Oryzias latipes: one gene and its partners. The protein of the gene in region 1 interacts with the protein of each later gene in a pairwise test. Links are inferred from orthologs where the notes say so. Each region holds a gene or a part of one and is shown in the gene's direction. Other genes may lie near its edges.

What was found.
Region 2: the proteins of ppp1cc (region 1) and ranbp9 interact in binary tests that used the Homo sapiens proteins (3 or more experiments, as listed by UniProt). The link is inferred for Oryzias latipes from reciprocal best matches to the Homo sapiens genes PPP1CC and RANBP9.
Region 3: the proteins of ppp1cc (region 1) and csrnp2 interact in binary tests that used the Homo sapiens proteins (3 or more experiments, as listed by UniProt). The link is inferred for Oryzias latipes from reciprocal best matches to the Homo sapiens genes PPP1CC and CSRNP2.
Region 4: the proteins of ppp1cc (region 1) and ylpm1 interact in a two-hybrid assay, tested with the Homo sapiens proteins (2 studies listed by BioGRID and IntAct). The link is inferred for Oryzias latipes from reciprocal best matches to the Homo sapiens genes PPP1CC and YLPM1.
Region 5: the proteins of ppp1cc (region 1) and ppp1r16a interact in binary tests that used the Homo sapiens proteins (3 or more experiments, as listed by UniProt). The link is inferred for Oryzias latipes from reciprocal best matches to the Homo sapiens genes PPP1CC and PPP1R16A.
Region 6: the proteins of ppp1cc (region 1) and cysteine/serine-rich nuclear protein 1 interact in binary tests that used the Homo sapiens proteins (3 or more experiments, as listed by UniProt). The link is inferred for Oryzias latipes from reciprocal best matches to the Homo sapiens genes PPP1CC and CSRNP1.
Region 7: the proteins of ppp1cc (region 1) and cops5 interact in a two-hybrid assay, tested with the Homo sapiens proteins (2 studies listed by BioGRID and IntAct). The link is inferred for Oryzias latipes from reciprocal best matches to the Homo sapiens genes PPP1CC and COPS5.

What each region holds. Positions count from the first base shown.
Region 1 is NC_019867.2:25,502,798-25,505,666, reverse strand, and holds the end of ppp1cc (serine/threonine-protein phosphatase PP1-gamma catalytic subunit), read left to right. Parts: intron 1-248; coding exon 249-383; intron 384-1,732; coding exon 1,733-1,822; 3' UTR 1,823-2,369; downstream 2,370-2,869. UniProt on the Homo sapiens protein: Protein phosphatase that associates with over 200 regulatory proteins to form highly specific holoenzymes which dephosphorylate hundreds of biological targets.
Region 2 is NC_019875.2:8,733,949-8,737,448, reverse strand, and holds part of ranbp9 (ran-binding protein 9), read left to right. Parts: intron 1-46; coding exon 47-159; intron 160-351; coding exon 352-460; intron 461-1,247; coding exon 1,248-1,402; coding exon of another isoform or gene 1,403-1,474; coding exon 1,475-1,628; intron 1,629-1,698; coding exon 1,699-1,820; intron 1,821-1,998; coding exon 1,999-2,150; intron 2,151-2,566; coding exon 2,567-2,678; intron 2,679-3,500. UniProt on the Homo sapiens protein: May act as scaffolding protein, and as adapter protein to couple membrane receptors to intracellular signaling pathways. Acts as a mediator of cell spreading and actin cytoskeleton rearrangement.
Region 3 is NC_019865.2:22,401,820-22,405,119, forward strand, and holds the end of csrnp2 (cysteine/serine-rich nuclear protein 2), read left to right. Parts: intron 1-2; coding exon 3-890; 3' UTR 891-2,800; downstream 2,801-3,300. UniProt on the Homo sapiens protein: Binds to the consensus sequence 5'-AGAGTG-3' and has transcriptional activator activity. May play a role in apoptosis.
Region 4 is NC_019882.2:1,500,398-1,504,642, forward strand, and holds the start of ylpm1 (YLP motif-containing protein 1), read left to right. Parts: upstream 1-1,445; 5' UTR 1,446-1,723; coding exon 1,724-2,257; intron 2,258-3,933; coding exon 3,934-4,161; intron 4,162-4,245. UniProt on the Homo sapiens protein: Plays a role in the reduction of telomerase activity during differentiation of embryonic stem cells by binding to the core promoter of TERT and controlling its down-regulation.
Region 5 is NC_019878.2:14,890,721-14,893,448, reverse strand, and holds the end of ppp1r16a (protein phosphatase 1 regulatory subunit 16A), read left to right. Parts: intron 1-666; coding exon 667-792; intron 793-871; coding exon 872-947; intron 948-1,064; coding exon 1,065-1,194; intron 1,195-1,391; coding exon 1,392-1,554; intron 1,555-1,623; coding exon 1,624-2,169; 3' UTR 2,170-2,228; downstream 2,229-2,728. UniProt on the Homo sapiens protein: Inhibits protein phosphatase 1 activity toward phosphorylase, myosin light chain and myosin substrates.
Region 6 is NC_019878.2:18,354,150-18,357,649, forward strand, and holds part of cysteine/serine-rich nuclear protein 1, read left to right. Parts: intron 1-2,741; 5' UTR 2,742-2,759; coding exon 2,760-2,934; intron 2,935-3,500. UniProt on the Homo sapiens protein: Binds to the consensus sequence 5'-AGAGTG-3' and has transcriptional activator activity. May have a tumor-suppressor function. May play a role in apoptosis.
Region 7 is NC_019878.2:17,008,820-17,013,039, forward strand, and holds the start of cops5 (COP9 signalosome complex subunit 5), read left to right. Parts: upstream 1-1,420; 5' UTR 1,421-1,569; coding exon 1,570-1,706; intron 1,707-1,786; coding exon 1,787-2,021; intron 2,022-2,581; coding exon 2,582-2,710; intron 2,711-3,086; coding exon 3,087-3,152; intron 3,153-3,382; coding exon 3,383-3,468; intron 3,469-3,614; coding exon 3,615-3,726; intron 3,727-4,220. Other genes in the region: cspp1 (centrosome and spindle pole-associated protein 1), read right to left, coding at 1-1, 87-167, 290-349. UniProt on the Homo sapiens protein: Probable protease subunit of the COP9 signalosome complex (CSN), a complex involved in various cellular and developmental processes.

The sequences.
Region 1 (2,869 bases):
TGTATCAAAAGACATTTATTTTTGACCCCTGAAAAAACAGCATTTCTTCTGGTAACCTGAGCTTTTGAATAGAAATGACATTCTTTGACATTTAAAATCAATTTCCTTTTAAATGCAACTGTTTTAAAAAAAACTGCACTTTAGTTGAGAGAGAGTGTAATCATGGTGACAGTAAAACTAAGCGTGATGATGTCACACTTTTTGGAATTTTCTTTTAACCCCCTTTATTGTCGTTCTGCCTCTTTCAGGTGGTTGAAGATGGTTATGAGTTTTTTGCAAAGAGGCAGCTTGTGACCCTGTTTTCAGCTCCAAATTACTGCGGGGAGTTTGACAATGCTGGTGCCATGATGAGTGTCGACGAGACTCTTATGTGCTCTTTTCAGGTGGGCTACCTTTATTCATGAAGATACTACCATAAGCTGTTTGCACCAATATGATCTCAGGCTAACCCTAGATTAAGCATTCCTTTAAAGAAAATTACATTTCAAGACATTAAAACATAACTGCTTGTTTTGAGTTTGATTAAGGATTTGATACAGTTACTTAAATATTGATTTGATTTATACATTTTTAATTCCAACACCAATTGATTTGCTTTTTTAATAAATGTTTACTAAGTGAGTGATGGAAACTAAACAAAAATACACATTCCTTTTCTTCCCTATTCAAAGACCCACTTCGGTAAAGTGTGTTTTTGGTGTTTTTAGCATGGTCTTCTGTCATTTTTCTGATGACAAGGGAAACATATTAAGCTTAAAATTGCATTTCTATGTCTTTCTTTAAAATGATAAAAACACTATTTATAAAAAGGTGTATGTGTGACGTAGAAACCTTGTTGGGCGGGCCTCAAGCTCCCTGCTCTACTCTATTCTGATGCAAACAAATAGATCCATTTACGTCTTAGTTTTCCTTGTCTCAGCTGGAATCTGGATCAAAACTGTATGACTGGAACCCTTTAGTATTGCTCGCCATTTTTGTTCCACCACTAATGTAATATTGGGTTTTTAGGGGCTGTAAGATAGTGGGAGAGCATATGAACACAGAGCTCCTGGTTAAGGATGATGGGAAGGAGGTTGCAGGTTTACCCCCCCCCCCCCCCCCCCCCCAAAAAAAACAGTCAATTTTTAATAGAAAGTTGCCTTAAAGAAAGATTGACATTGCATTTCGAAATGTCAATCAAGTGGTTTATGCTGCCGTTCTTGGTGTTAGTGTTCCTGGGTTATCTTCAGGGAGAATCTATAGGTGTATTTGATTTTTGATTTCTCCAAATGTCTGTGTTGATCGAGTAAAAAAGCAGTCAGACAGCTATAAAAGTGGATAAAGCGCTGCAGCTGCTGCCTCTCAGCAGCAACAGCTGGAAGTCTTCTCTGCGGGGTTAACTTTCCAAAACAAAGACATGGAAAATACACCCTTTTTCTTAAAGCATAACTTTTATCCATGTTGTTGAGATGAAGCCGTATTAACATATTCCACTTACTAACCTGTTTGTTTCTTTTTTAACGTTTCTTACAAGCAGAAATCGTTTATTGTGTAGCAGTAAAGAGGAAATGTAACTCTTATTCTGTATTACTAGGGAATTTTAGTTTGAGTATACATTTGTTTATTTATTCTTTATTAAAAGCTTTAATATGAAAATAAGAAATGTCTAGGCCTCAAAGGACTGTTATTGGGTGTGTGGTTTTTTTTGGGATGTGATAAAACAAAGGCGTAACTCTTTACACTGGATTTGCAGATCTTGAAACCAGCTGAGAAAAAAAAGCCCAACGGCAGTCGTCCTGTGACTCCCCCTCGCAACATGGTGACCAAGCAAGCCAAGAAATGAGGCAGGCGCCAGGGAGCTGGTGGGGGCCAGAGTCCCACTCCTCTGGTCTGCTTTTGTTTTCCGCATTTGAAAGATCGGGTCTTCTTCACGCTGCCAATACTGAAGATACCCGCTCCCACTCGATGAAACAAAATGTTTTATTGTTTTGTCCCAAGGGGTAAGTTGATAAGTCACCATGGAAAACCTCAGGTGTTTTGCACTCCATTTGCAGCTAGTCTTTGCCACATAATGACTGTTCAATCAGGAAAATGTAACAATACGGCTACTTGTGCACAGGAATGCCTTTGTCTGAAGCTGTGCACAATTTTTCCACTTTTCCATGTCTCGTTTATTTGTCATCTCTTTTCCTCACTGTCAGTAATAATAAACAATGGCTATAAATCTATGAGGAAAGTCACAGACACATTTACCTTTGTAAACTCCATTGACTGTCAGTGTCAAAGAGAATTGTCAGAATTGCATCATATTTCTAAATAAGTCGCGCTAAGTTAAACGAATAAGGAAACATTCTGTAATATCAAAGTCTTTCTAATAAACTTTGAGAGTATTTGGGGGGGGGGGTTGATATCTTAATGTTATTTGTTTCTAAAACTTTTATGGCTCTTGATGAAAATAAAAAGTTGAAAACTTCACTGTGTCTAAATAAGTGCTCATGAATTATAAAGCAGGTACTAAAAAACACCCACGAAGACCAGCGCTCAGCCACCTGCAGCTCTTTATCGCTCTGTTGTGGCTCTCTGGTTAAAGAAAAATGATTGTCATATTTAAAAGTAACTATAAGGGAAGTAAGAAAGTTTTTTAAAAAGTAAGTTAACTCAAACTTTTTTTAAAACTCATTCACAAACATTTGAAGGACGGTACGTATCACACTTTAACAGATTTATTTGCACCATGTAACGGAAAATCAATTGAAGGTCAGTTGGCACAACCAGAGTTAAAGACCACCAGATTATGAGATGGATTTTTTTTTGTTATTTTTGGAACAAATGAAAGGATTTAAGTGCACCTTATGGTTCAAAAAATAAGATAAGGGTCACCTAAATAGCT
Region 2 (3,500 bases), on another chromosome or scaffold:
CGCCTCATGGACCTCACTGAGTTCCAGTCCTTTCTTGTCTCGTCAGGATGGTGGCGTCCTACCTGGTGCACCACAGCTACTGCGCCACAGCCGAAGCCTTCGCAAAGTCCACGGACCAGGCCGTGCAGGAGGAGCTGGCCTCCATCAAAAACAGACAGAGTGAGTCTGCGAAACGCCGCAAAGTAAAACTGCAGTATCCAGAGACTTGCTGGTCAAATTAAAGCACAGCTCTGCCTAAAAGTCTTCTTCCCTCCAGCACGCCCTTAACCCCCCCATATAAATGTTAAAAGTATAGGGGTTAAATGTATATGACGTTTAGCAGCACTGACATTCACGTGTTTTTGGCTGCAGAGATCCAGAAGTTGGTTTTGTCGGGTAGAATGGGTGAAGCCATCGAGACCACCCAGCAGCTGTACCCCAACCTCCTGGAACGGAACCCGGACCTCCTCTTTATGCTCAAGTAGGAACACACACACACAAACACACCTCATCCATAAATCTTCAGAACCCGCTGGATCCCCTTCAGGGTCGTAGGAAAGCTGCTACTGCTGGGCCAAGGCGGGGCACACCCATTCTGATGCAGAGCCACACACTCGCATGCACGCCTAGAGGGAGTTTAGAGAAGCATGTTTTTAGACTGTGAGAGGAAGCCAGAGTGGCCGAAGAAAACCCACACATGCAGGAGGACAAGCAAACTCCACACAAATGCTCCCAGCTGGGACGAGAGCGCTAACATGCACACAAACACAGAATCTTAAAACTGCCTAATAATCTATTTGGTGTGAGGAGCATACAAGGATTGTAAAATCACAATATGAAAGTCAATATGCGAGTCGTGTTGGAGTAGTGGTTAGCACTCTTGCCTCATAGTGAGAAGGCCCTGGTTTGAATCAAAGGGTTCCTTTCTGTGTGGAGTTTGCATGTGCTCGTGTATGTGTGGACGCCGGACACACCAGCTTATGCTCTGTGTGTTCAGTGATTCTGGGATATGGTGGGTTCAGAAAATGGATGGATGGAGTATAGGCCAGGAAAAAAACAATAGTCTAGGATCTATGAAAAATACTGTTATATTTCCATGTGTGTGGGGGGCAGATGTTTGGTATTGAAGGAGGTTAGTTTAAGGGGTAAAAGTTTATCGTAGGAGATAAATCCTGAGTTTCACTCAGGTGGGAGTGTCTTTTAACGATGATTTTTGGCGATTATTAATTCCTACTTCTTTGGTTGAGCTCTGTGTCCCTCATTTTCAGGGTGAGACAGTTCATCGAGATGGTGAACGGGACGGACAGCGAGGTGAGGTGTCTGGGGGGCCGCAGCCCCAAGTCTCAGGACAGTTACCCTGGCTCGCCGCGCTCCTTCAGCAGCCCGGGCCACAAAGCCGGCAGCTCGCAGTCCTACCTCACCGGTACAGTCCCGCGCTTGGCCATGAGCCCCCACCCTGCAGCCGCTCTGATCCCTGCTGCTGGTTTGTTTGCAGGGGTCGACAGCAACTGCTGTAATGGCGTGGCATCAAGTAAGAGCCACAGCTCCTCCCCTCACAGTCACAAGCCCTGCCCCCCTGGCTCTGGCTCCACCCTCCCAGTCACCGACGTTAGTCTGAATGGGAGCCGCAGCCAGCTGCCCATCACAAGGTACAGTCTTAGTTTAGGACTGAGGTTAGATGTCTGCACCTGCTGACCCTGCATCCCCCCCACTTTACAGCAACGACGTGGACATGGAGGTCGACCACTTCACCAACGGAGTGACAGAACTATCCTCTAATGGTTTCCTCAATGGCACGTCCAAGCACGCCACGGAGCCGGAGGACTGCGACGCAGACATGGGTGGGTGCAGAGGCGGAGCCTCCTGCGTGGCGCTTGCTTTGCCTTCAGCAGCTTTTGAAACGGCCTGCAATGCTTTTCCCGTGATGGACGCGCTTTCACACAGCAAAGTCCAGGGATTTTTCTCCTGCCGTTAAGTTTGAGTGTCATCAGATCACTGACTGTTTCCTCCCCACCTCAGAGGTGGAGTCCGCTCAGGTCAAGAGGCAGCTGTGCGGGGGGAGCCAGGCCGCCATCGAGAGGATGATCCATTTCGGCAGGGAGCTCCAGAGCATGAGTGAACACCTCCGCCGCGAGTGTGGCAAGAACTCTGCCAACAAGAAGATGCTGAAGGTGAAGTCAGAGTTCGGCCCTGACAAACGTCTCATTTTCAGAACCTAATATTGACCTAAAGTTTTGGTTCTGAGACTTTTGTCGTTCATGTGCAAACTTTAAAATAAAGTTTAGTGTAAATGAAAACAATATTTTTACTTATCAAATTCCAAAACTCCATGTTTGTTTTTTCCTCCGCTGTGGATTCATAAAAATCCACCTTAGAAATCTTGCTGCACTGAATGAGATCAGCTCTAATCTCTAGAGATTACCCACACGGCTCATATTCCATGACATCAGTCTGCATGTGGCTCAGAAGCTTTGACACTGTTTTCCTGACAAAAAAGATGAAAATGTCACGGGACAAAAGAGAAACGTCCTGCAGCTGCAGAGGACAGAAACGGTCATGTCTGATGGTTCCTTGTCTCCCGCTGAAGGACGCGTTCAGCCTGCTGGCCTACTCGGACCCCTGGAGCAGCCCGGTCGGCTACCAGCTGGACGCCATTCAGAGGGAGCCGGTCTGCTCCACTCTCAACAGTGCAATATTAGGTGGGTCAGCTGCGGCTTTGGCAGGCGGAAGGAAGTCCAACACGATGCTGGTCGGGCTTTGTTCTGCAGTGACTCTGCAGCCTGGGTGTGAGAGTCAGATCTGCAGTGACTCATCAGGAGGGGAATGGACTGACTGACGGTCAGCTGATGGCTGCACTTCATTCATCATCTCACTGAATGAAACACTTTCATTTTGATTCGGAGCTGAAATCACAGATTTGTAACAGAGATCCTGCTGTGGAAGGACTTTCAATTTCTATTGAAAGGACTTTCAATAGAAATTTTTCCCTTTTTCCCCCGATGATTTTAAAGTCTCACTCCACTCATCTTTAATGTATTTTCAAAGCGTTTCCTGTGTTGTTTTTAAATAATGATTATGCCGTTTTTAGCTCAAATCAAAAAACCTGTTTAGTTTCCTAGAACATAGTTTCTGCAGAGCGGCAGCATTTTATCAGAAATTTAGCTCACAGTTGTGGACGCGACTTTTGCCGTACAGCACTGCTTCTCAATTATTTTTTGCACCCCCCCCCCCTTAGGAAAAAGACAAATTTTCACGCGCCCCCAACCCCCACCATCCATGTTTATTTATGATCAGCTGTTTTCTTGCATTACCTGCTGTCTTTCGGTCAAATACTGACACCAACTAAACGACAGGCAGACAAAGAATACATTGATGGAAAACAAAGACATGTCATCAAAATGTCAACAATAGTTCATAAAGAATGACATTAGAATGAGCTGAGTAATCTAAAGGCCCGTGATGATCCTGGTGCTGCGCAATCCAGGCAGCTCTCCGCGTTCCACCTGCAGCCTGAGCCCACT
Region 3 (3,300 bases), on another chromosome or scaffold:
AGGTGGATCGGATGTCATTCCCGTGCGGATGCTCGAGGGACGGCTGCGGGAACATGGCGGGCCGCGTCGAATTCAACCCCCTGCGCGTCAGAACTCACTACCTGCACACCATCATGAAGCTGGATTTGGAGAAACGGCGGTTGCTCATAAGCGAGGCCGGGGAGCAGTATGCCGAGTCAGACCCCACCTCCTCCCCCTCCTCCACTTGCCCCACGTCCCCGACTCTGTCCACCAGCACTGGGCTAGACTCAGAGCTGGAGGAAAGCGAAGTGCAGGCGGTGGAGGAGGTCCACGATTTCATGGCGGCGCAGGATATACTGGAGCGAGAGAACGAGACGGCCGTGCTGCACCTGCAGAGTGCTGTGGAGCAGGAGAGGAGGGAGAGGGAGGAGGCAGAAGGGCAGGCAGTGCAGCGGGAGCTGAGTGCTCCCGCGCAGCAGCGCCTGTGCCTCCTCCCCAGTGCATTAAGGGAGGAGCTAACCAAGCAGGGAGATGTGCCAGGTGTAGATCAGGTCCTCCTGCAGGGGCCCTTCCCCACAGGGGCCACTGTGCTGTGCATCTCTGATAACCAAGAGGAGAGTCCCTCTGACCTCCTCAAAGACTCCACCCCTCTGCTCTACTATCAGCTCAGTCCCATTGAGCCCGGAGCCTTTGAGACGCTGCCCAAACCGGAGGAAGAGGAGCAGGAGGCGGTGTTTGCAGAGAGAAAACTAGAAGAAGAGTTCAAGGGAGAAGGAATCAGCTCCAGCAGAGGAGAGGAATCTTTGACCAGCGTGGTTTTCCACTCAGAGGAGCGTGCAGCGGCCCGCACGCCTGAGCAGAACGTCCAGAAAGAGCTGCAAGAGCCCTGCTCGGAGAGAGAAGCTGACCCACTGCCTCCAGAAGTTTAGCATCAACTTCTCCGTAGATATTTTGCACAACCGCTTCATCTTAGAAGAGAAAGTTTCATTATTCCACACGTATTACTGCTTTCATCGCCACATGTTCAAGTGTAGTCGCTGAAATATGTGCAGAACGAAGCGTTGTTACGATCCAACAGAGGAGAGATGCTGAAAGCACATGCAGACAGATCACTCCCCAAAAAAGGAAAAAAAATGCGTTTTTTAAAGGCAGCATTGGTGTATGAGAGGTTATTATGGGGCCTTAATGGAAAAAAAATGTATGAAGGAGTGCAGCATGTTTGTTCTTTTCCAACACAGTGCGGACATAAGCCTTTCCCTGGGCGGTGAATAAAGATATCGACACTAAACACAAATAGTTTTTTGGCGTGCTGAGATTCCTGCCGCCTCACTGTCCGTTAACAGCACGCCGTGCCGAGCCAAAATGAAGGCCTCTGATTAGTATCCTCTGCTAAATATAGACCTAATAATCCTGGAATTACTTGTCTTTGTGTACTGTATATGCATTTGCAATGTGCAAGAGAGCTGCTTTTCTGACCTGTATGCACATTGAGGACAGACAACGTTGTGGCGCCGGATCAGCACCGGCCTTAGCCGGCGCTCCGGCTCACGTGGACTGCTTGTACGAGTGCAGTCTATTTGTCAAGAAATAAAGAAAAAAAAAAAGACGAAAAAATGTTACTTATAGTTGAAATCCAGATGAAATCTTTGGTTATTATGTCTATTGTGGATTAGTTGCTGTTGAAGGAGATGTTTTTTTTTTTTTTTTTTTGGTTTGTTGTAACGCCATGTGCTGAAAAACCACGTTAACTGGGATGTTTGCGTCTCCGAGAGCTGATTCTGAATCAAGCCAAATGTCAAGATGAAGACAATAACGGGAAGAAGAATCCAAACTGCATCTCTTTACTCTAGGAAACACAAATGTGACGCCACTTTTGGTTTTGTGCAACTGTTGTGTGTGGCATATATGTGTCTGTGCTCTTATGTGTGTGTGTGTGTGAACAGTAGAGGGGAAAGGAAGGAGTGTGTGCCTGCGTGTGTGTGTATTCGCTGTTTTAGATTTGGGGCTTTAAAACCTGGAAGGTGCTGATGTCGGAGATCTTCTCCCTGCCACCGTGACATAATGAAACTAGAATGACCCCAGAGCCCCCTTCTGGAGGGAGGGGGGTTCAACGCAATATGTGATTAGAGACTGAGCTCTTTTTTCGTGACTGACTGTAAATGCTAGCGTGTAACTTTTTTTTTGTTTAAGCGTCTTTTTGAGCTACGTCTGAGTAATACTGATCTGCATAAGCAAGCCGACACTTCTTACACCAAGTCAGTCCTATGTTTTGTTGCCTGAGGTTCCTGCTGTCGCCCACGGCAACGGCTCGCCCGACACAGGATGCACTTCTGTGTATAAGCTGTCTGATGTATTTGTTTGCCTTTTTTATTGTCTTAATATAATCCTGGTTTCAAACCTAACTATGTGATGCTCCTATCCTCCATCAAACTTTAAAAAAAACGTTTTAAAAAAAATGTTTAAAAAATTGCAGCCTCTGGTCGTTGTGGTGAAGCTGCAGATTTATTATAGCCCTTTTTTGTTTGCGTGACTTGACTTGATATAGTACCATCTTTGAAGTGACGATGGTGACACGCTGTTGTGATGCTTCTGTCTTTGGCTTTCTACTAATAGATTTAGGTTTGGGACCACTGCGCCTCATTTGCAGCAGTACTCTGTGACTGTGTGTGTTTCTACGTGTGAAAGCGGGTGTGCGAGAGACTTCAGTTTCAGAAAACTTCATTTAAAAGCTGAGATCTACTCTCATAATAACTGTTGCCTAAAGTGGCCAAAAGGGTTTTTATACAAAACTAAAACAAAAAAACAAAAGAGAATAAAGTTCACTTTGAAAAAAGAAAAAGGTTGATTTTGTGTTGTTTATGATTTCTTAATGTTTTGGATAGCTTACATGTACACTGTGGAGGAGTGGTTAACACTGTTGCCTAAAAGCATAAAGGTCCAAGTTTGAATCCCAGCTGGGTCCTTTCTGTGTGGAGTTTGTATGTTCTCCTCATGCAAGAGTGGGTTTTCATGCTTCATAGGTTAATTGATTCTTTTAAACCAATGTGTGGCCCTTCAAAGGACTCCCACATTGTCCAGGGTGTACCCCTACTTTGCCCTAAATCAGTTGGGATAGGCTCCAGCAACACCTGTGACCTTACACAGCAGGAAGAGATGGTGATGGAGCACAGATTTTTGTATGCAATTAAATTCCGGAACCTTTTTCTCATGCACAATTTTCTGGTTGCAACTATATTTTTGATGCTAACCAAGCTGATATAACACAGAGACGAAATAAATGTGGGCTGCATGGTGGAACAGTGGTTAGCACTCATGCCTGACAGCGAGAAGACCCTGGTT
Region 4 (4,245 bases), on another chromosome or scaffold:
TCCTTTACTGTCACTGTTTGCTTTTCATTCTCTGTATGAATCATTGTTTAAAGTCAAATTAATGCAATGTACAGTAAGACACCACTGCACTTTCTTTTTCACATTAACTTCAAGTATTTTAACAACAATCTTTGCTGAGACGATTGACTGAATAATCAAATCTGGACAAAAAAGATTAAAAACGATTAAACACTAAAAGTGCTTTTGCCTCAACCAGGAAAAGCTGTAAATACAGACAATTTTTTTAACACACAAAAATGTTTAAATAACTCCCTGAATTAAAAAAAAACAACAATTACCAAGCAAAAACTATAAATGAACTTCATACAAATCTAACTTGCTGACACAATAATTCCCTTTTATCGGCTTATGTCAACCACTGAGGTTGCAGGAACAGACTTGAATCACTGAAAACTAGCTTGTTTTTCTGCAGCGTGCAATGATGTGGAGGGAAACCTGTCAATAATCTGAAAAGAGAATAACACTTAAAATTTGAACGTAAAATTCTTTAAAATCGTATTGAGTTAAACTTATAAAAATGAGCAAATGTTCTGCTCAGACATAGTGACACTGTGCATTTTGTAAATAATTTATGTGTAAAAAAAAAAAAGGATGTTATAGAAATTGGGATTGACAGCCGGGAGTTTGTACAAAATCTGAATTATTTGAGAGTTTTTTTTTTTTTTTTGCAGTTGCAAATCTGTCCCAGCATGAATGTTTCCTCAAGAGGAAGTCCACTGATCTACGGTTCTGTCATAAATTACAAATGTGTCAGTAAATGCTCCCATCTAGTGGGGAAATTAGATGGATGTGAGATTTCAACTATTGAATATTTTAGGGTTTTAGGGTGTTTTTTTAGAGATGTTAATCTCTGGCCATTATTGTGATATTATTCTGTTATTTATTTTATTGTTTGTTTGTTTTTGTCCGATGTGCAATGAATGCAAGCAGCTCATGATTGTCCTTTGGGATACAAAAAAGATTCTATTCTATTCTATTCTAGTAAAGCATAAAACAGAAAAAAAGAGGTGTGTGTGTGTGTGTGTAAATTATTTATGACGCTGTGCCAAAAAAAATCAATAGGGGAGTGAATATAAACTTGGCTTGACATAATAAACATGGAAAGCTAAAAATGTATTTAGAAAAAATTTAATGTTAAAACGTTAAAACGTGAAATTGACTCGAAAAGCTGCATAAAACGGGTTTAAATGACTCAATTGCTTCTTTAGTTCTCTCACGCGAGTCTGTTTTGAGATTTAAAAGTTGAAAAATTAATAAATTCAAATATTCTGAATAACACTACCAGAAAAAATTACAAAAATTAACGAAATATTCTACAAACCAAGTCATTCAGCAATTGTCTCTGGATTATTATTATTCTTACTTTTTCTTTAATTTTTGGGTCATTTTTGTTTTGAGTGTGGACCGGAAGTAGTCACGCAAATTGTGACGTATTTCCGCTGCCGGTGGCGTGTTCGGCTAACACCGTCAGCCATTCCACGAGAAGAAAAATACATTTTAACGATTGAAAACAGCATTTCCACGCGCACACGCGCGCGTAGCAGATCCCGAAGGGTTCAGAACTTTATGTTGGGTCTTTGCGGTGATTGTTGGTCCGCCATGTAGCCGCGTTTCCCGCTAAACGCAGCTGGACGCCGCCTGCTAGCTTTGTTCGCCGCTTCGGGCCCGGCCGTGACCTCCGCCTGCAGCTTCGTTTTTAAGGATGTATCCCTCTTGGGGAAACTTTAGTGTGCCTCCGCCTCCAAGCTTTGCAGGCCCGGGACCTCGGAAGCCTGTGGGCGGCAACCATGCCGGCCAGCCTGCGGGGTTCGGCGGCTTCGAGGCCCCGTCCAGCGGCTCGCTCTTCTCCAGCCTGCAGGAGCAGCACCGCCAGCAGATGCAGCAGCTCCAGATGCTGCACCAGAAGCAGCTCCAGTCCGTTTTACACCACGGGAATAACGCGTCCCAGTTCGGTTCCGGACACTCGGGGGGGTATCCCGGACAGTCGTGGCACTCGGAGGGATCTAAAGAAGACGATGGCACCCAGGCTTTCTACAATCAGGAGGGGGCTCCGACGTCCACGGGTCCTCCAGCCCCCACGCAGGGGCCCCAGCAGCCCCCAGCCGACCCCCAACCTGGTCCCCCGCCTCCACAGACCCAGACGCCCAACCCACCGGACAGCAACGGCGCTTTCAAAGGCACAAAGGCCGGGATTCAGGACTGCTCCGCGGCGGAAGACAAGTCGTTGCCTCTGCAGGTAAACAGTTTACTAAACCTGTTTGTTTTGTTTAAACAATTAACTCAGGAGGTACACTCAAACCTGATCGACGAACCGCTGAGAATAGAGCCCAAAGGTCCCACAGGTGAGCTGACCTCCTGCATCTGTAGCTAAACAGTATCTCACAGGCTTTTTCTACAGGTGACGTCATGCCCGCTTTGTCCAGTGATGATGTCACCCGTCTATAGCTAAAACATCCACGTAAACAATCCATGGAGCCCTTATTTAACAGTTTGGCTGCACAGCTGGAGGCTGAGCAGGTCCATCATGATATGATCTTAGATTGGAGCTGCACACCTGTAACAGGTGTCTTAAATGCTCCTACATACTATATTTTTTTTAAAAAAGAAGGGGTTTTTGCTCTATGGATTAAATGAACAGCTATAACCAAATTTCAGGTGTGAAAAGGAAGTGTATTATTTCATAAATGCATTGATAAATTAACTGTTTTGTTGCAGCCTTTAAATCATTTATATTGTGACTTATTGCTGCTTCAACAGTTTCTCAATTCTGGGAGGAAAATTATACTAAAAAAGCGCACTTCAGCTAAGCTGTACTTAAAGGACAGCTTAGTTTATTGGGGTCTTCTGAAGAAGCAAATGAACACACCTGGAAAGGTAAAACTGAGATGGACTTGGCTGCAGACAAGATCATCGGCCCGAAATTAGGCAACGTACCCAAACCCAAAAGTGTTCAGGATTGTAAAAAATAAATAAAGCTAAACTAGGAGACGCATTTCAAGAAGAAAATACAGTGTTGAATACTATATTGCTGAATGAAAATACGACTTAAAGGGTAAGAATTGGCACCAAAAAAAGAAAGAATTGATCTAAGTCGACATAGAGTGAATGAACAGAAAGTAAATAAAGTGAAAACAGCACAACAACAAAAAGGAAATCTTTGTGAAAAAGGCAGTTGTGCACCTCAGCTCACGTGTTGTGTCACTTCACCACCAACCAGGTACAGCGGACAGGACATATAATCCAGGAAATCCTGGAATATCTGGAAAAGTTCAATGATTTGAAGGACCAAAAGTCACAGCTGGAAAAAGCGGAAAGAGCTGAACATTTGAATGGTTGGATGGTTGAAATAGCTGAAACATTGTAAGAGGAGTTAAGCGGCAAAAAATGGAGGAAGATAATAGAATAAAGAAAGAGAAACAGAAAATGCAGCTCCTTCTAGTTCCTTTTTGAAATTTCCAATAAAAAATACAACCTTTTATGGATGAAAAGTGGAGTTTCTGTTATTAAATTTAAAAGTTTTTCCTGTGAAAATTAACAAAAAACAGTTTTTTGGGAAATAAAAAAAGCGAGACAGTTTTAAAGTAAATTAATTTGTGTATTTGTCAAGTCAGACATGTTTTTTTTTTTTATTAAAACCTGATTTGGTTCATATTTTCACAATGAGTGGTTTTATCTGTGGGAACATTTGCACACACATTTGTTTTGATTAAATATGAATGTATGTACATTTATAAAAGCTGTGTACTGAGTCCAGAAAGAACGAAACTATTATCCACAGAAAGTAGGAACTGCCGGGTTTCTGTTGTTTTTAAACACTTTAAATGCTAATTTAGCCGTTGATGTTAAAATGGACATTTTGCCACCTAAAGTGGAAGAGAGTGAATTTTTTTCTGCTGGATCTGTTTTTTCCAGGAACAGCAGCAACTTTGGTACAAACAGCATCTGAAGAATCTGCAGAAACTGAGGCAGGAGAAAGCGCGGCAGAGCCAGAAAGACGGCGATGCGCCTCCTCCTCCTCCACATCCAGCTTCAAGCCACACCACTCCTCCTCCCCCTCCCTCTGATCCGCCCAAAAGCGCCCCCCCTCCGCCCCCGCCCTCAGACGAGCCCCCAGCCCCTCCGCTCCCAGTGGAGGTTCGGGTGAGGATCCACATCCTGTTGTTTTTACACACGAAGCTCTTCTGGAAAGAGAGAATTTTTTTTAACTCTAGTAAAGTTTTTTAG
Region 5 (2,728 bases), on another chromosome or scaffold:
TTCAGATTCACCTTGACTTATAGAGCACTTCTCCTGTCACAGAACACCTCAAAGTGCTTTACATGAAGTTAAAATAATAGGGAAAATAGTCATTTTAATAAAATCCCCCCAACACACATACAGGGAAAAACAGTCCATTAAACACAAGGAAACATAAATCTACTTGAAAGCAAAGGTAAATAGAGGAGTTGATGTTTAAAACCTTCCCAGTGGTGGAGCTCTCACATCCTCAGGCAGGATCCTCACCGCGGGTTTTTGTCCTGACCTTTGAGATCACCGGCAGACCTGCACGGGAGGATCCTACGGCTCTGGGGAAGCCCTTAACCAAAACCATGCTGATAAAAAACATGAAGGTCCAATTCCATTGAGACATTTACAAACAAATGAAAGAATCTAAAAATTGATGCCAAAGCTGACTGGGCGCCTTTGCAAAGATTTTAAAATTAGAGTAAAATGCTCCTTTTTTCTGGTCCTGGTTTTCTAACACCAGAAAGAGGAGAATGTGGTCTGGCTAATAATAAAACGTACAATTATTTATACTTTCAGTGTTGTAAACTTTCCATCTCATAAAGTGGAATATGCATGATTAATATTGCTATTCTTCTCAAAGAAATTTATACTTGTTAGTTTTATTTATGTGGAGTTTTAATGTTTTTCTCCTCTTAGCTCCACATTGCGTCTGCCAACGGCTACATGTCTGTAGCTGAGCTGCTGCTAACCAACAGAGCTGAGCTGGAGGTGAAGGACTCTGATGGATGGACGCCGCTGCACGCTGCCTCCTGCTGGGGACAGGTTCTTACTGCATCCACACTGGAATCCAATATTTTTTTCTTTTTGCTGTCTCCATACTGTTTTGTGTTATTGTTTATAGATCCAAATAGTGGAACTGCTGGTGGCCCATGGAGCCAGTCTAAATGCAAAGTCTGTTCTGGAGGAGACTCCGTTAGGTCAGATGAATTCAGACTCTTTTCATAATCAAATGCAAAGATTTTGTTTATTTAATCTAAAAAAAAAAGTTATGTTTATAAATGAATGGGACATTTACAATTCTGTTCTATTCACAGATGTTTGTATGGATGAGGAGGTCAGAGCCAAACTGATGGATCTAAAGCACAAACATGACGCCATCATGAAGAGTCAGGACAGACAGAAAGGCACTCTGCAAAAACGAGCGTCTAGTACTGGCAGTAGAGGGTGAGATAAGCAGCTCAAGAGACCCAGAATGTGTCTAATTTAAAATATAAGAACCTACAGACAGTCAATTTGGGAATTTCTGAATTAAAGCATGTTTATTTTTAGAGGTTTAAGCCAGAGACCCACTGAGCACAAAGGCAGAAAAGTTCAAACCCCACAGTGATTTACTCCTGAGAGTTTCTGGTCTGTCTCCTCAGTAAGGTGGTGCGTAGGGTCAGCGTGAATGAACGCTCCAGCCTGTACCGACGGGAACACCAAAAGGAGGCCATGGTGTGGCAGGAGCGTGACCGACAGCCCGAACCTCACGACGATGATGAAGACAGACAAACGGACAACGAGCTGCACCAGCACGCTGCTATGGTGACTCCACTGCTCATTCAGCCGCATCAGAGTCCTGAACGCTCTTTTGAATCTGCCGCTTGTTTTCAGATTGCTGGGGGAGCAGCAACATCGCGCCTAGAGGAGCTGGAGTCTGCTGACAGGAAAATTTCTTCTTGTATAGGCAATGGAGAGACCTCTGTTTCTCTGTCCTCCTCTGTCCCGGGAGAGCTTTGGACTGGAAGTGGTCTCATGGATCGCAGTGCCTCCTATCAGCTCAGCTCTGCGTCTGCATCAGCGTCTGCATCAGCGTCTGCAGAGGGCGACTCTGCTGACAGCATGAGCCGAGAGAAATCCCACCACACCCTGGCTGACCTGAAACGGCAAAGAGCAGCTGCTAAACTCAACAAATATCCAGCTCCTCCTCCTCCTCTTCTCCCTCCTCCAGTGGAGGAAGAGCCTTCAGTTGCAGCAGCAGGAGAGATGCCAGCCACCCCAGCTCAATCAGAGATCCAGATATCCCCCACTCCGAATGACACGGTCTCTCCCAGCCAGGTGTACTTTACCCCATCCAGCGGGGATCCTCCACTGCTGAAGCTTCGAGCCCCTGAGGAGGACCAGACCAGCAGCAAAGAGCCTTGCTGTGGCCTCATGTAAGCATGAGCCTGCAGGCAGCAGAACCAAGACCAGCTCTGCTTTAAAGTGATAACAGCCTTTTAAGGAGCCACTTTAAAACAATAAAAAAATCACTGACGATGGAACCAACTGACTTTGGCCAGTAATTGTCTGAACCTTTTCAATGGAGTAACTAGTTTGGATATTTGTTATTTATTTCAAGCTCTTTGCATTCTTTCTCACATGCAGGACTTAAACTACACAACTTTTTCAGCAACACTAGACAAATGTCGTATAACTGGACCATAAGATGATTTATTTTGATAGGAATATGTTCCTTTTTTGTTAAATGATTAGTTTGAAGATGACAAGCTTAAATCTGTGTCATAAAATATTTTGTATGCTTGGAAGATGATTTAAAGATTTCTTTTATAAACAAGTAAACCTGAATGTACACAAAAGAATGACTGCTGCTCCGTTCAACAGTTTTCCATCAACAAAACTCTATTTTTTTTCTTTCCTAGTAAATTAAGTAGAATACATTTAAATATTTTTATGGTAGAATTTGTACATTTTCATCTTCAATATGAAATCCTGAATA
Region 6 (3,500 bases), on another chromosome or scaffold:
TAATACAAACTGTAAAGGCCCGGAGATAAGAGAGTGAGGATTCTGAGGTCGTACGAGCAGCCTGTATCTGGATAATCGTATTCGACTGACACAGTTATGCATTTGACTTGAGCTGTGTCGTACTTCTGGTGACAAATCTCCTCGCCAGAGATTTATCTTTGCGACTCTGTGGCAACTGGCTGGGGAGCACCTCAGCGGCGGCGTCCTTTATCTGTCTGCCATGTGTGCGGTTGATGGAATGACAGTGATGCATAATTTAGCGTGCGCTGAAAACATCCTGCGCTCCTCCTCTGGCTCAGCTGTCCGATCACATCCCCTCCTGGATTGAAGGCGACTTTCACGGGGCACTGCCCTCTCAGAGAGCCAGCCACCTCTGAATTTCTCCTTTCATCTTGGTTTTTCTTTTCTCCCACCCTCATCTTTGTGAAGGGGGAGTCGTTGCATGACAGTCTTTTTGCCCCGCTCACTTCGTCCATGTACGCTAGAGAAGCTCCAGATTGACTACAAACCTTCGCCTTGCCAGGATTAACCTCTCGCCATTGTTTCTGCCCGTTGAACAGGATTAACAAATCAATGTGTCAGGTAGACTGCAGCCAGGAGACAATGACCCAGTTCTGACACCACTGTGCCCCCCCCCCCATTCTCCTTCTCCTCCCCCTTCTGCCTCACTGCAGCTTTTAATTAAAAAGACTTTGCTTAGCTGGCTCTATGTGCTCCCTTGAGGATGCCTCACAGCTTTGTTTTCCTCTTTTCCTTGTGAATTGGGGGAAGGAATGATGGCAAAAAAAAAATGTAAGGTGAACCCTTGTGTGCTTCCACCACCCGGAGCTGTGACAGAAAAGTACAGTGTGTGCAGTGTGACGCTAAGCGCAGACATCGTCCGCAAAGTAAGTGAGCACATAGGCAACAGATGCGGCGTCCAGGTGCTTGTGGATTGTTCTAAGGCAAATCCCCTGATGTGTGAATCAAGGAGCTGCAAAGAGCAGTTGGAGATTACTCTAATGTACTCGAGTACATTTACGGATGGGAATTTATTGGCTCCTCTTCTGTACGGTAAAACACTGAGGGGGCTTCTCTGTGGCTGAATCCTTTTATGTTTGTTGCAGACGTGACCTATTGCAAGGTGATTCATTCATCATGACTGCACAGGGATAAACACATCTGACTGAAGCAATCGCAATAACCTTTTAATATGGCTGCAGAACTGGTGACACTGCCTATGCAAGCTGCTGTTCCGAACTTTTGTAAATTAGCACCATTTTTGCTCACCCGTCTCCTCATGCATACTTAAATTACCCCCCGCTTTGCTTACCTGCTTTGATTTTGTTTCTTTGTGCTCCAAGAATGCTGACTCCGGCAGAAAATCAGGACAAGTGAGGTATTCAGGTCACACAAGGGTTTCAAGATCCAGTAAAGTCATGAGGAGCATTATTACTGTGACTTGTCTTTAGCATATTAATGAGTTGTCATGGCAGTATGGTGACGGTGAGATGCTACCATCAGTGTCATGTTCTGCCTGCAGATTGGATGCAATTACGACAAAATCCAAATAATTACAGGTGTTTTATAAAGAAAAAACCCAACGAAGCGTGTCTGGATATTATCATAAACTGAGGTGCATGCAAAGTGGGGTAAAAGCTGCAGCAGCTGTAAGTGATTTGACTGCAATTCCACAGACAGTAAACAGTTTGTTGGAGAAATGATCTGTTTACGGCCAAAGTAAAAGCCTCCTTTTCCTCCCCACATCATTGATGGGAGTGTCTGGACCAGAGCCCAGTCGTGTCTTTGCTCTTTCCTTCCTTCCTGCATCCCTCAGTCCAAACTTGCATGAGATCCCCGAAGTTGACCCCTTAAACCGTGACTAGGAGTACCTGCCCCAGCTATCAGCCATCACTGCTTTGTACTTCCCAGAATTTGCCACAAGCTGTAGGATATCCCATAATGCTAAAACACTTCAGCGCTGCTGTTTTTTTTCTTCCTTAAAGAATGTTAATTTTTCACATTGTGGGTTTTCTTCTTCGATCCGTTAGAACGCCTTGAACTTTGAGATGCTAAACAACTGAAAACTAAAAGCTGGTGCACAGAAGCAGCTTTTTAAAAGGGGCGTAGAAGCGACGTAGCGTTCTCAAAAGCGTGAACCCATTGCAGTTTTTTTCTTTTCCTTTTTGCCCATCTGTCTCAAAGGATTGATTGTTTTGCTCTCTGCAGTAGCACCCCTCATGAGAGCCATGAAGAAATGCAAGCCTTGCATTTGCTGTCTGCATATTCCAATATATGTATTTAATGTGGACACATAAGCAAGATGAATGGCGAATATCCCCAGGCCCTCGCCCGCTTATTTGATTGCTGTAGCATTCTGAAAGTGATTAAAATATCTGCAGTGAAATGGTTTGAGCACCTTTGTTTGGTCCTTACTTTAATCAATGCATTTCCAGGGCTGATGGGATTTGTAAAAGGGTGAAGGGTCCAGTAATTGTTGACTTAGGCAAATGGGACTGATTGATTGCTTCCTGTGCCATGGCTAACTCCCACTCTCAGCTGAGTGCAGCATGAGACTTGGATGCTTGCAGTCTCTCACATGGCAGAGCACAGGACTCGCTGTACCAAAGGGATGGCACAAAGCTTTCGTGTGTTCAATTAGGCACAACCATGGTGCAAATGTAGTAATTTAGCAGAATAGAAAAAAAATTGTAAAAAATATGATATGGGAATAACCATCGTTTCTGTGCCATTCTCCACAGACTGCTGACACTAGCGCCATGAGTGGGCTTCTCAAGAGGAAGTTTGAGGAGGTGGATGATGATCCGTGCTACTCCTCACCCTCCTCCCTCTCCTCTGCCTGCTCGGCCTGGGACTCGGAGGGGGATAGCTGCTACTCTGACACCCTAGATTCAACTCCCAGCAACCCCAGCTCCCCAGTAACAAACTTCAACAGTAAGTTTCTTCTTCTAGTTGCACTAAATGTCTGAAATGATTTTGTTTTGTTTTGTGCATTCCTTTACCTTGGCTCAAACATCCGCTGAAGCGCTGCTAACATCCTATAAAAATGGGGGAGAGGTGAAGGAATTTCTGCTGCTGGCAGCCCATGAAACAAGACATGATTTCAGACTTCTTCAATGAATGCATCCTTTGATTTTATGCCCTGGAGCTGCAGAATGGCTAATCACATTAAGTCTGGCTTGCTCACCTAGTTTCTGCCTCCACCCTTCTCCTGGATCCTCACTCGCAGCCTCACCGTTTGGGCCAACACGTAGGTGGGCAGATTTAGGGTGTTTGTGTCTGCAGGGCCTGCTTGAGAGCGAGGTTTGCTCAGAAAAGAATTGTTTTATGCGGGAGGACGGGCAAACAGTTGTGAGCCTCCACGGTGGTATGTATGGGGCAGAACGCCAGGAAGGGAAACATGGCGAAATGCCAGATCTGGGAACACACAGCGCCTTGTCTGAAGCTCGGGCGTGCACCCAGCACAGGTGTTGAAAGAGGTCGGGTGAAGGGGTAAAACC
Region 7 (4,220 bases), on another chromosome or scaffold:
TCTGTTGCAAAAAAACCCCAAAATAAATAAATAAAAGGTATGAACAAGGCAATATAAAAAAAAAAATAGTGCACACAAGGACACACCTTTATGGATGCTCTATCATCAATAGGTAAGGAAAGCCCTTGGTGTTGTGGATGAGGTTCACAGGTTTTTAAATCGTGTTCCTTAAAAGGTACATGTAAGAATAAAAAATAGAAAAATAAGTTGGCAGAATGGAGAATCAGAGGTAACACAGTCAACAAAAATTCTCTTTAAATGATCCTATAATAATCGTATGATATCTGACCTTGGCTGCATGATATTTGAAGTCCAGCCGCAGATCCAGAAGAGGTTTCTGTTCCTCCATTTCACGCTCTGATACTAAGCCTCAGTTAAAACCTAGAGAGAGAGAAAAACATAGCAAATAAATAGCCAGTATAATTGGACTGATTGAAAATTAAAACTACCACAAATACTTCATCTTGTTTATGATAAGCTATATGGTTCCATATTTTGTGGATGCTAGAGTTTTACAAAATGCACATCACCTGCAAATGATGAAAAACATTCATACAGAAAGTTAGTTGTCCAAGGTCAGATTCAAGAACTTTCTCAGCATACAGGTGCATGCAAATTGAAAGTTAGGTGTTTTCCATTATAAACTCAAACAGCACAACCTGGCAGTGAACAAAGCTATAAAAATGAAACCTTAGATGAAACTCTAACTCTAAAGGATACATACTTAATTAATTAGACATTTTTATGACTATTCTGAATGTTTTCGCCGCACTAAAATGGCAACGCAGCAAGCGTTGCTATGGGCAACCGTGACACAAAGGTTGGCACAGGCTAAAGAAGTTAGCAAACACGAAACCACAAAAAACTCCGTATATCTAAAGTTTATGTGGTAATCATACAAACTTAATCGCATTTCAATAAAAATATCTTTGAAAATCCTAAACGTGCTTTCTAAGCTTTATAAGATGACAAACACGAAGTAACATTGATGTTTTACCTTTACTCTTGACCAATGACGTTCGCTAATGTGTTTTTTCGAGAAGTTTTTTTTTTTGCAGCATTAATAACTGTTATCTCCCATTAGGGTCTTTATTAGATATACAATGCATTAAATAAAAAACAAAGTTCTAAAAACAGGATAAAAAATATTCTCAAACCTGTCTGCTTTTTACAAGTCTCACCGCTAGATGCCAGTGCATCCTCAAGTGTCTGCTGACGTCTCTTTTGGACTAAACCATTATCAGAGGGGTGACAGTACCAGAATTGATGGGTACATTTAGCAGAACTTTTAACTCTTACATAAATTGTATTGATTTTTTCAATATATTATTAATGATCCATTTTAATACATAAAGATACGAAACTTCGACTTTTGTATTTTTCCAAATCAACAAAGAAAGGTTCAATCTTTCGACGTCATTGTTTTGGTATCGTTCCCTGTCATGGCTGCCGTTGCAAGAGAACGTCTGGCCCTGTTACTTTAGACGGATATACACAATTTCTTTGTTTGTGTTGTTGTCACTGACGTTCGAAACGCTTATTCTTCGTATTTTGAATTGACACTTTATCATGGCTGGAAGTAGTACAGCTCAGAAAACGTGGGAGCTGTCGAACAGCATGCAGGAAGTCCAGAGCATCGATGAAATTTACAAATACGACAAAAAACAACAACAAGAAATCCTCGCGGCGAAGCCGTGGACAAAAGAGTACTTTCAACCTGATTGACTTCATTCCTATTTGTTGTGTCGCGTAAACTAATTGTGTTTTCTTTTTCTCAAATCATTAGTCACCACTACTTCAAGTACTGCAAAATCTCCGCGTTGGCCCTGCTGAAGATGGTGATGCATGCCAGGTCAGGGGGGAACCTGGAGGTGATGGGTCTCATGCTGGGGAAGGTGGACGGGGAGACCATGATCATCATGGACAGCTTCGCTTTGCCTGTGGAGGGAACAGAAACCAGGGTGAACGCGCAGGCTGCAGCATACGAATACATGGCTGCCTACATTGAAAACGCCAAACAGGTGGGATCATGTTATTTTATTGTAAAAACATACACCAACACTGAAATGACACAGCAGCAATTACTTCTTCTTGACAGATTACACAGTTCCTGGTGGAATTGTTGAAAAACTGTCTCTTATTAAGATTTATTAGTCATAGGTTCTGTGTTCAGTATGTCAATATGTCTATTGAAGTGTTCTAATCTTTTATTTAGTTTCTATTGTCGTTATGACTGTTCTTCTTTTTTTTTTTTTGGTGGGCTACAGGTAGCCGGAATAAGTCCAGCCTGGATTTTCTTGAGTTGCTGTCCCGCTGTTTCCAGTTATCTTTGGGGATAGCAGAGCATTTATAATATTCATTTTTTTGTTTTTAAAAGCTTAAAAATAACTTCTATCCCCGACTGACCTATTGAAGTCTGTCTATTTCCTTTCATAAATAGTTTCCGTATTTTTTAGAAACTAAGCAAGCCACGTCAGATTTAGTAAAACCTTTTCATTGTATTAAACAATAAACACTTTATAATATTGTATTATAAATAATTATGAATAATTTTGTTATATTTATCTTTTTAACCCCCCAGGTTGGCCGTTTGGAGAATGCCATTGGCTGGTACCACAGTCACCCGGGTTACGGATGCTGGCTGTCAGGGATCGACGTGAGCACTCAGATGCTCAACCAGCAGTTTCAGGAGCCTTTTGTTGCTGTTGTTGTACGTATAAACTTTTATAACGTTATTTTAATGTAATTTCCTGCTAGTGGAATTTTTAAAAAATGAGGAGGAAAGTTCCTGTTTCGTCTTTAAAAAAAAAACATTACAAGAACGTAAATGAAAATCTATTAATGCATTCACTGCATGTTTTGGCATTGCACTACTGACTATTTTCCTTTTGCAACCCCATATGCTATTTACACGTCCTTTAGTTCAGCAGGGCTTCGACGCCAGGGGCGTCGTATAATTAAGTGTGTGTTTTTTTCACACTGACAGCTGCGGGAAAAAGGCTCCTAGTGAACTGATTCCAGTGGTCTCTGGAGGATTCCGACCTTTGACTTTGTTTTCCTGTTTTACTGTATCTTGTGTCCTACAGATCGACCCCACTCGGACTATTTCTGCAGGGAAAGTCAATCTAGGTGCCTTCAGAACATACCCAAAGGTACAGCAAAGACCAAGAGAAACATGGTGTTATGACTTATTGAAGTCATAAATTAAATTTTAAGTTCGAATCGTTGATGTTAGTTTTTTTAGGAGGGATCTGAATAAATATTTGTCATAAATATACATCAGAATGTCTTAATTTGTTTACTTGTTAATGATTAAACAAATGTGCTAATTCTTTTTTTTTATTTTGTATTATTTTTTAACATTTTCCTTGTGGATTTTCAGGGTTACAAACCTCCAGATGAAGGACCATCAGAATATCAAACAATCCCGCTGAACAAGATAGAAGACTTTGGTGTTCATTGTAAACAGTGAGTAAATTTAAAGCACTAAACCACTCTTAATAAATCAATCAATCAAACTTTATTTATCAAAACTTTATGTATCAAAGATGCATATATTTAACATGCTCCTGAATTATCTTTTTTTTCAACTCTTTATGATTGTCTCTATTCAGATATTACGCCTTGGAGGTGACTTACTTCAAGTCTTCTCTGGATCGAAAGCTCCTGGAACTCCTTTGGAACAAATATTGGGTCAATACCTTAAGTTCCTCCAGCCTTCTTACGGTATGTAAGCCACCTCAAAACTCAAAATGTTCACTAATTGTTTGACATTTTGATTTATGGTTAATTATTACTCTATAACTCATTCAGACATGGAGTCAACATGTTGTGATGTGTTGATTTATTGCTGCTTTTTAGCTGGCCCTGCTTGTTTATTGTTTTTAGTAATAAGGTCTTTGTGAACTTTGGAGCAGAAGAAGATGATGGGTATTAAAGTTGGACTTGACTCCACTCATCCAGAAGCCCCCCGCCCCTCGAGCACAGTTTTTTCTAAAGACTGAAAGGCCGTCACATGAATTTGCATTGTGGTCCTGAGCTGGGTTAAATAGACACCAGGCTTATCTAAACAGTTCACTCGCTGGCATTCTGGATGAAGATGTATTGACTAGATGTCAAGAAGGAGCTGCTCAGTAGGTGACGGGCTTTGTCAGTTGCTACACTGTCACCCTAGTCAGGCCCCCCCCATGGCATTGTGTTTTAATTACCTGCTCTACTAT